Oryzias latipes: one gene and its partners. The protein of the gene in region 1 interacts with the protein of each later gene in a pairwise test. Links are inferred from orthologs where the notes say so. Each region holds a gene or a part of one and is shown on either strand. Other genes may lie near its edges.

Region 1 (4,045 bases):
GCGACTCACTTTATGTGATCCAACCCATTTTGTGTAGCTATCCTAAATCTCAAATAGAGATATGGAGAACTTGATGCTGAGAAACTTAAATGATAAACGCATTGATAAACATATACTCGTGTCTTTCTAGAAAACTAAATAAATGGATGTTAACTTGTGTTTAAATGAATGAAATAATTTGAGCTAAACCAATGATTAACTCATGAAACTCTATATGATCGCTACGATCTCCTAACGTGCAGAAGTGTTGTGTTAAATCGATATTTTCGAGTCAATGTAATTTAAAAACAAGGACTTAACTAATAAGCTAGCAGTAACTATTACATAATGCCCGCTAGCTATATTAGCTATGAAGCTAGCATGATGAACATTGCGAAGAACTTCTGCACGAACGAACAAACGGATTTTATTGTTGGGAGATTTTAAATTAATCTTTGTTTCTTTAAAGCACAATATGATCTGTCACCCCCTCCCCCCAGTAAAGTTTTTTTTAATTAATCTGCTCGCTTACCATAGTGTTACTGCAGCTTCCGTGACTATTTCCCGAGTTAGTAGAGGGCCAGCCAGTTTTCCCGTTTGGCTGCATTTGGGGTTTCTGCATCAGTTACACGTATTTTGCCATCTTCCAAAATAAGCAAGACTATCACTAGTTTACGGTTCCGCTAGAAATCTGACAGCTGATCAAAGCAGCAGCTTCCCCGCAGAAGTCAGGATCGCCTGATTGCAACCAAGAAATGAATAAATGACGCGGAACTCTGGAGACATGGTACTGCGTCTTTAAGTCGAGTAGAACCATTACAAGTAAAGAGGAGTCACTCTCTAAAACTTTCTGATCGAAATTGCTGGATGAAACCTTACAATTGCAAAACGCAGAAACGGGGAACACAATTAGAATATTTTTAATTAAAGATATTTATTTTCAATATATTTTACTGCTAAGACCAACTATTGAATTACTCCTGTAGCAGTTGTATTTTTTAAACATGTGACGCAACTTTTCAAAATTTTCATTTACGATCTTTGATGTGGCACATGCGTTGGAAGGGTTACCATCCATCATCAAATGGGGACATTTAATCCAAACATGTTTTATAGAAAATTCTTTTTGTATCATAAAATGTATGATACTTTTGTTTAAATCATTTTTACACAGTTATTTTTAGAAAATTCGAGCTATGCGCAATTACGGTGCGGAAGGGGTTAAATGTTTACAGGAAGTGTATAAAAGCACTTCCTGTGCACCGTCAAATAGAAACGGGTAAAAACATTCATGGCTTGATGGTTCAGAAATCAACTAAACGCGTGAAAACTGCAACTAAACATGAATTACGTACCAGGGACGGCCAGTCTCATTGACGATATTGACAGTAAGTTGGGCCTTATAGAAATTGCTTTTTTTAATCATAAACAAACGACACAATGTATTAGCGTGTGCCGTGTGGACGCAGATTTTTTTTAAATGTTTTTAATTTCGCAGAAAAGCACTTGGTCCTGCTGCGAGATGGCAGAACACTAATCGGTTACCTGAGAAGCATCGATCAGTTTGGTAATAAAAAATGAGAATCTTCTAAACTCTTCCATGCGGGTTTATTTTTTTATTTTTATATGATTACGCGGTGTTTCAATAGTCCTAAATTTGTTTGTTTCTTTCTTTTTTTTTTTTTTTTGTTCCACAGCCAATTTAGTCTTTCATCAGACGGTGGAGCGTATCCACGTGGGAAAGAAATTTGGAGATATTCCCAGAGGTATCTTCATCGTCAGGGGAGAAAATGTAGTCCTGCTTGGGGAAATAGTAAGTGTTTTAGAGCAATTTTTTAGTTTGTTCTAAACTTGAATGTAATTTCTGGATCAAGTTTTATTTACGTGAACTTGTTCTCAGATGCTCCGTACAGCACCAAACATCAAACTCTGAATGTGGTCAAGCATCCAGGTCTCGCACTGCAGAAAATGATGTGACTCTTATTTAAAGATCAAGTTAAATTTATATGCAAGTAAATTGTTACTTTATATAGTTACTACAGTTATAAACTTTTTTTTTTGAAAAGTTGCTGCCTAAATGAATACTTGCTTAAAAAGGAAATTGCGCACACATTGACTGTAAAGGTACCTCCATGTTAAGGTTACTTAGCAAAAACAAAAAAGGCTTAATTTTACAACTTTTTCAAATTTGCTGTTTGGTCTAGCCAGATTTTTTATTTTTCTCTCCTGGTTTTCAATATGATATAAAAGAAAAGCGGGTGGGAAAAGTGGTGAGGATTGTCAATCTTTGCTCTTTCCATATAAATACAATGCATACTTCTTCTTACTTTTTTTTTTCTTAATTATAATTTAGATTACCAATGATTACACAAATGATTGCAGGATTGCTGCTAGTTTACCTCACAACCCCAACCTAACATGATGGTGGTAGAAATGAATACGGCAACAATATTAGAGCTATCCAGCCATAGTTTGGAGCCAGATCTCAGCTCCGATGAGGGAAACAAAGAGGCACATGCATCGTTTTGTCTACAATGGATGCATCAGAATAGAGTGGTGCAGGGAGCTTGTGGCTTACCATTCGAACTTGTGTCACACAAGTTTTTCGTGGGTCCTTGAACCACGGAGTTTAAGCATCTTTTTGGGCAAAACTATGAGCAGGCCATAGCATTGAGTACTAGCAACTTTTGTTAGTGTCATGGAATGATGCACAGAGCCTAAAAGAACTTGATGACATTTTCGGATCATAAGATTTGACCTCACTCTCCTGTGTCCTGTGCAGGATTTGGATAAGCCCTGCGACACAGTCTTGCAGCAGGTTTCAATTGAGGAGATCCTGGAGGAGCAGCGGTTGCAGCAGCAGGCCAAACAGGAAACGGAGAAAGTCAAAATGCAAGCTCTGAAGGACAGAGGCCTTTCCATACCCAAAGCTGATAATTTGGACGAGTATTGAACCCTTTACAAGCCTTTTAGTTTGTATAAGACAAATGGATTTTATGTTTAACTGAAGGGTGTCTTTTGTTTTGTGGCTAGAATCATGTAAGGCACAATACTGCATTGTTTTGTTTTGCTTTTTTTTCTTTTCTTAATAGTTTCATTTAAATTGTATGGGGATGTAAGAACTGTTTAAGCAAATGGTTACAACTTGACGGCCTTTTTACAGCAGCACTTTGTCATCAATCATCATAATGACGTGAACTTTTTATTTGGAGATGGTGGGTCTGCTAGTGACTAACACTCCTGTTCTCCATTAAAACAATTGAGTTTCACTTACTAAAGCCTGCTTGAAAAATCTTTTGTCTTTGAAGGTTTAATCTGCAAGTACACAGAAAGCGGTGCGTTTAGTCATTTAAGTATTTATTGGTGACTTGACTGGCTTCCTATTGGCTAATCAAAACGTTAATTCTGTTATAGGGATGATCTTTCAGATACTGATCAATTTCCCTCATTAGCTGCTAGAATAAAGTGACGTGTAAGAGAAGCTATGCGTTTTACAGTCATCTTTATATGTACCCCGTATACTTTTTTATTTTTTTTTATTTATTTTTTTCTTAACCTATAGCAGGGTTCTGCAACCTTCAGCACATAAAGAGCCATTTGGGTTGATGTCTCAATGACCACGCCCCAGTAGGAGTCAAAGTCTTTATTTTTTTATTTTTTTAAGACTAATTTGTCTTGGATACTAATATGATAAATATAGATGAACTGTTATTTGGCATAAATAAAAAAATATAAAGAGAAAATAGCTTTTTTTTTAAAATACCGGTAGTTTAAACTTTTGATGGAGGTTCATGTGACTTCCTCTCAATAAGTGTCCTGTTTCACATGGGATCCTCTCAATCCAGCAAATGTAGAAGTGTAATGTCAGCAGTGATTAAAAATAGATATTTTAGCATTTGAGGTGCATAACAGCCAACATTTGTAAATCAAATCAACAAAAAAAAATTAGAGCTAAGTGACCCTTGCCATATTTATTAGAACCATAAGGTGAACTTAAAAATCCTTCAATTTGTTAAATAGAAAACTCACCATCCATTACTCCTTTAGTAGGAATTCTGGCTGTGCT
Region 2 (4,221 bases), on another chromosome or scaffold:
CCTGCACGCTGCGTCAAACCCAACGTAATGACGCCATCAACGGAATGACGGCTACGGTGGCTGAGAAATGTCAACTTAGGGAAAAAACAAAAAGAAAAAATAAATAAATAAAAACTACACAAATATCCTATTTTAATACAACCAATTGTCTTGCCTGTGTTTTATCATAAAATAAGACTTTAATTAAGTACCAAGCTATAAATTAGTTGTTGCAAAAATTGCACCAGCAAAAATATGAACGTGTTGGTCAAATTATATAAGGATTCACGTAATTCAATTACATGAATCCATTTGGTAATGAAAAAAATTATTATTTTTTAAACCACTGTCACATTTATTTAGACTTTACCAAAACCAGACAGACCTTAATCATAAAATAGAATAGAACAGAATAGAATAGAATAGACTTATTTTATTGTCACTGTGTCACATGTACACGCAACAAAATTCCAGCTTTTCCTTTTTTATAATACAAGGAGTTGTGGCAGTGATCTATTCAATATTATTCTTCTCTTTCTTCTCTATTATCCTCATTTTATCATCATTATTTTTTTTAATTTTATTCTGTACTAATTTAAGGAATAAAAATGCATTTCACTGAAAATGAAGAAAAAATTACTGTATTATGTTTAGTCTAGACACTCATACCTAATGCGAACTAATCAGCAATGGTACAATCTGAAATTTGAGACACAGGATTTTGCTATAAGATATTATTAAGCGGTTTTATGCTTTGAAGGAAATGTTTGTGTATAGATAGATAGATAGATAGATAGATAGATAGATAGATAGATAGATAGATAGATAGATAGATAGATAGATAGATAGATAGATAGATAGATAGATAGATAGATAGATAGATAGATAGATAGATAGATAGATAGATAGATAGATAGATAGATGGATGGATGGATGGATGGATGGATGGATGGATGGATGGATGGATGGATGGATGGATGGATGGATGGATAGATAGATGGATGGATAGATAGATAGATAGATAGATAGATAGATAGATAGATAGATAGATAGATAGATAGATAGATAGATAGATAGATAGATAGATAGATAGATAGATAGATAGATAGATAGATAGATAGATAGATAGATAGATAGATAGATAGATAGATAGATAGATAGATAGATAGATAGATAGATAGATAGATAGATAGATAGATAGATAGATAGATAGATAGATAGATAGATAGATAGATAGATAGATGTTACACTTGGTCCTCTGTATTTATTTTTGAATTTCGTCACAGTAAAAGAACAAAAGAAAATGCTCCTGTGTTTGATAGATAGATGTTACACTTGGTCCTCTGTATTTATTTTTGAATTTCGTCACAGTAAAAGAACAAAAGAAAATGCTCCTGTGTTTGCGCATGTTTTGCGCTAGGGGGCAGTCATGTTTTAATAAGACGTGGCACCGAGTACGTAGAAAACGAAGAAGAGTCTGCGAGTAAAAATCGTGTTGCTAATCTAAGGCAGCACAAACATAACCTACCAGAATGGTAAGTTATTACTTACAAATGGACTATTTTGTAAAAATCACACACTATATAAAAATACTGACCTGTTCTTTGGCTTCAAAAATCCCATGTAACTGGTTTAAACATCGCAAATCAAGGCTAAGCTACGCTAGCAACCAATGCTAAATTGTTTTCTGCTTGTGGAACGCTGACTATACAAGTGGTTCTTTTTAAAATTATTTTCTATATAAATATATAAGGGGGGGGGGTCACCATTTCAGATACACGTTTAGTACTAAACTAAACACAAACGAATCATTATAGTTCGGAACAGAGCTTAAGTTTCTCCGCCGACACAGAAATACATTCAGACGTGTTCTTCATTTCTGAATCAATATTCCTTTTAGAATGCATTATTTTAATATATCATAGAGATCATAAATCGGACCCATTTCTACTATTTCGCAGCTTCCCTTGTCCCTTTTGAAGACGGCCCAGAACCATCCTATGGTAAGAAATAATTGCTTTTCTTTCCTCCTTCTATTCCTTATCTGGTGATTACTGGTTAAACCATTTTATTCAGTTACTTGTGGTTTTAAGATCAGGTTTTTTGTTTTGTTATTGAGATTGTTTGCATGTTTTTCTTTAAACAATAATTTTTGTGCATTTCTTTTTGAATAAAGAAAGAACCTTTTAGAAAACCATAATCACCAGCTGACCTTTTTTTCAATGAACTTTGATTTTTTTCAGCTGGTTGAACTGAAGAATGGAGAAACCTACAACGGTCATCTGGTTAGCTGTGACAACTGGATGAACATCAACTTGAGAGAAGTCATCTGCACATCCAGGGTAACAGATTTGCTCTCATGTTCTCAGTGGAGAACGATCCATAAACTGCACACCTTAAATAAAAAAAATTAGCTTAAATTTAACAGTCGCTTACCTGTTTCCTTCAGTTTTCATTCTGACTACCTTAGCCGTTTAAAGACCCACCCCAATTAAAATAGTGTATTTGTTTGGTTTGGTTTTTAACATGTTTTGTGGCATTTTTCTCATAATGACGGACATATATAAAGAAAGTTTGTAGGCAATTAGATCCATTTACGTCTTGGTTTTCCTCGTCTGAGCTGGCATCTGGCTTTAAACTGTACGTCTGTATAGCTTCAACATTCCCCACCAATTTTCTTGCACTTGGTGTTAGATTGGGGGTATGAGGGTGTGTAAGCTAGCAGGAGAGTGGAAACAAAGGGACCTTGGAAAATGCGGCAGGCTTTTTTAGGTATATTTCTAATGAACTTCTGTCACTCTGCAGAAACTGTCCTAGAAAACAAGACAAGTTTTTCATTTTGGCTTAAAGCTGCATAATGAAAAAAAACAAAATCAAAATACTGGGAATAGATCAAAAGATAATTGAAGTGAGCCTTTAAAATATAAAGACTAATGTATAATGAAGCAATGGTTTTAGTAAAACATCCTTTGATACATGTTGGAACAAAAACCTCAACGCTAATTTTTTTTGTTAGAAGAAAAAGGACTGATTATTGTTAAAGGCCCTGTACCATGCTATTCCTAAACCATTCATGGTAAAGAATATCCATATATATATTACCTTTGGCCCACAAAAGAAAGATTTTTTAAATTAAATATTAGTTACGTGGCGCAGTGGTTAGCGCAAGATCCCCCAGCCAAGTTTTGGGGACTTGGTTGCTGTTGGTCCCCCAGCCAACTGCAAGCCCAGCCAGGTCCAAGACTTGGCTGGGGGACCTGAAAAAGAACCTGTCTGTGTGGAGTTTGCATGTTCTCCCCGTGCATACGTGGGTTTTCTCCGGGGACTCCCACCTTCGTAGGTTAATTGGTTACCTTAAATTGTCCATAAGTGTGAATGCAAGTGTGCATGGGTGAGTGATTTGTGGACCTGTGACAGACTGGTGTCCTGTCCAGGAAGCCCCCTGCCTTCACCCATGAGTAGCTGGGATAGGCCCCGGCAGCCCAGTGACCCCAAAAGGGACAAAGCGGGTTTAGAAGATGAATTAAAAAATGATGAATGAATATTAGTTATTTTCCTGAGTTATTTTCCAACCTGGAAGCAAGACGACTGGATCTGAGGCACCGGCACTTCCATGATGTCAACCTATAGCCAGCATCAACAACATGTCTGTGTCTCGCCCACGAAACAAACAACATTCAAACTTTCGTAAAGATGAATGTGCATATTGAGCATGTAAAGAGAGTTTTGCCAAACACCACTAGCTTCATGGAGTGTGTGTTTTAGCCTGGGGGCGGGGCTGGCAGCGCAGACTCTTCCTGGAAGGGGCTGTTCTCACTTATCTACATCAGCTCGTGAGAACCCGCTTGTTTTTGTGGGTTAGGTGTGGCTGGTTCCTGGAGCACAGGTTTTTAGAGGAATTCTCAGAAATGCGTGAATGGGTCAATACTGGTTTGAGGTTTCTTTATAATACACCGGGAAGTTCAAAAAAGGGATTTAGCATAGACCCTTTGAAGTATACTGGTTACACTCATCGTTTGGTCTTTTTCCCACAGGATGGTGATAAGTTTTGGAGGATGCCAGAGTGCTACATCAGGGGAAGTACCATCAAGTATCTGCGAATTCCAGATGAGATTATTGACATGGTGAAGGATGAGGTGGTTTCTAAGGGTCGTGGACGTGGAGGTGCCCAGCAGAATAAGCAGCAGGGTAAAGGAAGAGGCGGAGCCGGCCGAGGTGAGAGGAAGCAACTTCTGCATTTGT
Region 3 (4,029 bases), on another chromosome or scaffold:
AACCGCCTCAGAAGTAAAGAAAATGTCCATAAACCCACAGACCTGCAGTTGGCCCATCGCCAACATCAGGAATGCACTCAATTCTCCATCGACCGGCGCAGTGTGTGGAGGCGGTTCACAGCGGTCTTCTTCAAACTGAACTATAAAGAACCCATGACTTAAAGCCCCCCTCCCCGAACCCGCAGCCCCGGTCACTGCTTCTGCTGCATGGCTTCCTTCCGAGCGGCGTCCTGAAGCAGCTGAGTGTCCACCTCGTCTGCCGGCAGCTGAACGTACCGGACCACCGAGCCGCGGATGAAACAGTTTTTCACAGACAGCTGGAGAGCGTGAAACACGTGAGACACGGAGTCAGGCAGGGCGCCTTCCAGAGGAAGAGAATGAACACATCCAAGGGGATTCAGAAGCTAACACTTCTCTTTTTCCCACCACTCTCACGGGTCAAATAACCACATTTACACTCACCTGCCACTTTATTAGGCACACCTGTCCATCTGCTCGTTATCACAAATTTCCAACCAGCCAATCACATGACAGCAAATCAATGCATTTAGACATGGTCAAGATGATCTGCTGCTGTTCAACCCGAGCATCAGAATGAGGAAAAAAGGTGATTTAAGTGATTTTGAACGCAGCAAAGCTGAAATCATCTATTAATAATGAGTTCTCTGGACTCGATGGTCTCCACAGTCACCAGATCTCAACCCAATAGATCACCTTTGGGATGTGGTGGAACGGGAGATTGGCATCATGGATGTGCAGCCGACAAATCTGCAGCAACCGTGTGATGCTGTCATGTCAATATGGACCAAACTCTCTGAGAAATGTTTCCAGAACTTTGTTGAATCTCTGCCACCAAGGATTAAGGCAGTTCTGAAGGCAAAATGGGGTCCAACCCAGTACTAGCAAGGTGCGCCTAATAAAGTGGGCAGTGAGTGTAGAACTTCTGCATATTTTTAAATGTTTTTCTGAAAAATTGTAGTTTAGAAACTCTGAAAAATGTTTCTAAATCTTTGCTGTTTACCTGAAGAACTGCTGTCTGCTCTGCCCTACACTGAAACTGAACTTCCAAAGGTGTGCTTCTACATTTCTCACCCAGCAGACAACTTTAAAAATGTTTGTTATACTGACAGAAGGAAATAAAAGAATAAAAACAACTGTATGTTTTAGAGGCCTCTATGCAAACTTTAGACTAAAAAGTAAACCATAGATGAGGACTTGCCATGTGTGGATACTTCTCTGGGTCTGTCACACTGATGTCGGTCAACTTGATGTTCAGGTACTAGATGATGACAAGAACAACATTTTTAAATTGCAAACCAATACATTGATTAATTAAAAAAAGTAAAGAATTAATTATTTTCTAACCTGATCAACAGAATGAAGCGTCCCACAGATACTGGGGGGAAAAAGAGAAAATGAAGCTTTCAATGCAACAGTGAACTTTTGATGTTAAATGACTTTCTGGGAATATGCAAATTTGTATTGAACAAGTCAAAGTTTTTGTTCAGTAAATTTATTTCTATTGTCAATGCTGCAGGAAAGTCTGTTTTTTCTTATATCCCACTCTTATCTTTTTAAAGCGCTCCTAGTGGTCTTTAAATGTGCTGTTTTTAGCCAAAAATAAAAAAAAAACCTGCGTCGTTTTCTAGGACAGTTTCTGCAGAGCAGCAGTTGTTCACTAGAAATTTGTCTGAGATCGTTGGTGCAGAGCAAGCCTGCCCCATCTTCCCATCATCCTTTGCTAACTTACAACCCCCCCCCCTTAACCCAACATTAGGTGTGCAACAAAAAAGAAAAAAAAAGTAATATTGGAGCAATCCAGCCGTACAGTTATTTGTGCCAGCTCAGACCAGGAAAACAAAGACGGACAAATCTATTTGCCTGCAAGTGGATGCATCAGAATGGAGCAGAGCAGGGAGCTTATGGCATCAAAACCACTTTTTTCATTTGGATGGGTTTTTAAAAAAAGTACCACATGTCTAAGTATCGTCCATCTGTGAGAGGAGCTAAGAATTATGAGTTACGTCTTTAAAGAATGCCCAACAACTAACTGTAAGCTAATTTTAATATTTACTTTTGAGCTTTCATCATGAGATGCAGCTAGTTTGATTGACCCCCCACCCCCACCCCCGCAATTGACCCTACTTCTTCGGGAAAAAGGTCTAAAATGAATTTGCAGCACGTTTGCAGACCAAGAGTTAGCTCAGAAAACTAACAGGAAAAAAAGTACATTTTTCACGCTGCTGGCACCAACCTATTGAGCCAGATTTGCAACAAATGCTGGAAGGAAGGGATGGCAACCCCACGCCACTGTGACCAGCATGAGATGCAAAACACCAGCTAGAAGGAAAGACAGCAACTCTGACAGAGTCAATGTCTCTGTCAATGCTAAGTAGCTCTTCACTGCACCCATTCAAACAGCGCTAGCAGAACCACGCGCCATTTTTAACCACAAACGGCGCTTTGAAAAGAAACATTACCAAACAAATTGGTATGTTGAGTTATCAAAACCAACCTGAGGTCGTTTTTCAGCTCCACCACCACGTCCTTCCCAACCAAAGACTTGAAAAACGAGTAGAAAAGCTGTAGATTTTTTTTAAAAAAAAGACGATGTTAGCACGATGATGGGCCGACAAAGCGGCTCAGCACACTGCGAGCAAACTCAGCGACAAAACAAAAGAAATTCAGAAGAATTCTGACACTCAGAAACCTAAAATGTTTGACTTAAACTAAAAAAGTACATTTTAAAATGACGATTTACGCCTTACCATTTTGGCTGTGGTGTTCTACAGAAGGTTTGGCTGCTGTTGATGACGTATCAGCCTGCGCCGTGTTTCAGCGGTGAGTGAGTACCACTTTGCGCCACTAGAGGGAGACACACTGTCGTTCAATGTTTATTAAGGAACTATCAGGTGTTTTTCATTGACCGAGATTTAAATTTAGGCTTTCACTCATATTTCTTTAAAAAAAAAAGACATAAAAAACATTATGAGCCATCTCTTAAAAAATTGAATAAAATATCAAAAGTCTAATTCAGATTTAGTCTAGCTTCTAGTCTAGCTACCAGACATGTTTGTGATACTTTTTGTACCTCAAAACTTTATTTTTTTGTAGTATGCAGACCTTTACTGTGATTTAAAAACACACACAAACACAAACCTGAAATGTCTATAATTTGCTGCAAGAGTTTTTAATCAGGATTAAGTTTGTTCCTCAATGTTCTTTTATAAATTACGACGGAGTTTTAGGGCCACCAAAAAAAAACAAAAAAAAAACGTAGGGTCGTAATAAAAACATAGAACCTAAACTATATTAATAACGATATTAATCTTTGTAAAGAAATTGTGTTTTTCTATACTGGTCAAAGGAAAGCATGCTTTTCATGCTTTAATGCTGAAAGTTTTCTGTATGAAAACTGGATATATTTATTGTTTACGTCTTCTAATTTAAAGAACCTTTGGTCTCCAGTGCCATTTGGAGTTTTATTCTGTTTCTTCTCCAATGTCTTTCTGATTTTATCTACAGTTTGATGCAATAAAAATCAGAAAATGAACACAATTGTGACCGTTTTGTTTCAAGAGTTCTTTCTGTATTCTGATGAAAGACCACACGGGGGCAGTGTCGAGCACTCAGATGTTTTAACAAATCTTTTCAGCTTCTTTACTCATCATGGTTTACGAACTTGATCTGAAACAGAAAACTCTATAGCAACGAATCACAACTGAATGTACACAGTTTTATCTTTAAAATAATTATTAATTCAAAAGTTCTTTTGTTTTGTTTTTGAGAAAGTTAAGACGTTGCTCCTGGGTCTTCTGTTGTTGACACGGGTAAATTCCACTAAATGTGCTTAAACTGTGGAGTGGACGGTGTCTCAGTGGACTCTAGTTCAGGATAAAAAACAAACAGGTGAGATAACTCTGGACCATTTACTCCTTTTATGAATTTTCCTATGTTTTGGAAATTCTTTTATTACAAGATACATACTTGATAGAGTGAGTCTTTCTGCAACTGTTAACTTAATTCATT

What was found.
Region 2: the proteins of lsm1 (region 1) and lsm4 interact in binary tests that used the Homo sapiens proteins (3 or more experiments, as listed by UniProt). The link is inferred for Oryzias latipes from reciprocal best matches to the Homo sapiens genes LSM1 and LSM4.
Region 3: the proteins of lsm1 (region 1) and lsm2 interact in binary tests that used the Homo sapiens proteins (3 or more experiments, as listed by UniProt). The link is inferred for Oryzias latipes from reciprocal best matches to the Homo sapiens genes LSM1 and LSM2.

The regions. Positions count from the first base shown.
Region 1 is NC_019867.2:18,635,754-18,639,798, forward strand, and holds lsm1 (U6 snRNA-associated Sm-like protein LSm1), read left to right. Parts: upstream 1-1,231; 5' UTR 1,232-1,321; coding exon 1,322-1,367; intron 1,368-1,477; coding exon 1,478-1,546; intron 1,547-1,676; coding exon 1,677-1,792; intron 1,793-2,761; coding exon 2,762-2,932; 3' UTR 2,933-3,460; downstream 3,461-4,045. Other genes in the region: bag4 (BAG family molecular chaperone regulator 4), read right to left, coding at 512-601. UniProt on the Homo sapiens protein: Plays a role in the degradation of histone mRNAs, the only eukaryotic mRNAs that are not polyadenylated. Probably also part of an LSm subunits-containing complex involved in the general process of mRNA degradation.
Region 2 is NC_019862.2:13,834,471-13,838,691, reverse strand, and holds the start of lsm4 (U6 snRNA-associated Sm-like protein LSm4), read left to right. Parts: upstream 1-1,391; 5' UTR 1,392-1,511; coding exon 1,512-1,514; intron 1,515-1,940; coding exon 1,941-1,982; intron 1,983-2,222; coding exon 2,223-2,321; intron 2,322-4,013; coding exon 4,014-4,194; intron 4,195-4,221. UniProt on the Homo sapiens protein: Plays a role in pre-mRNA splicing as component of the U4/U6-U5 tri-snRNP complex that is involved in spliceosome assembly, and as component of the precatalytic spliceosome (spliceosome B complex).
Region 3 is NC_019862.2:27,136,854-27,140,882, reverse strand, and holds the start of lsm2 (U6 snRNA-associated Sm-like protein LSm2), read right to left. Parts: upstream 2,890-4,029; 5' UTR 2,772-2,889; coding exon 2,769-2,771; intron 2,584-2,768; coding exon 2,516-2,583; intron 1,397-2,515; coding exon 1,366-1,396; intron 1,280-1,365; coding exon 1,220-1,279; intron 318-1,219; coding exon 192-317; 3' UTR 1-191. UniProt on the Homo sapiens protein: Plays a role in pre-mRNA splicing as component of the U4/U6-U5 tri-snRNP complex that is involved in spliceosome assembly, and as component of the precatalytic spliceosome (spliceosome B complex).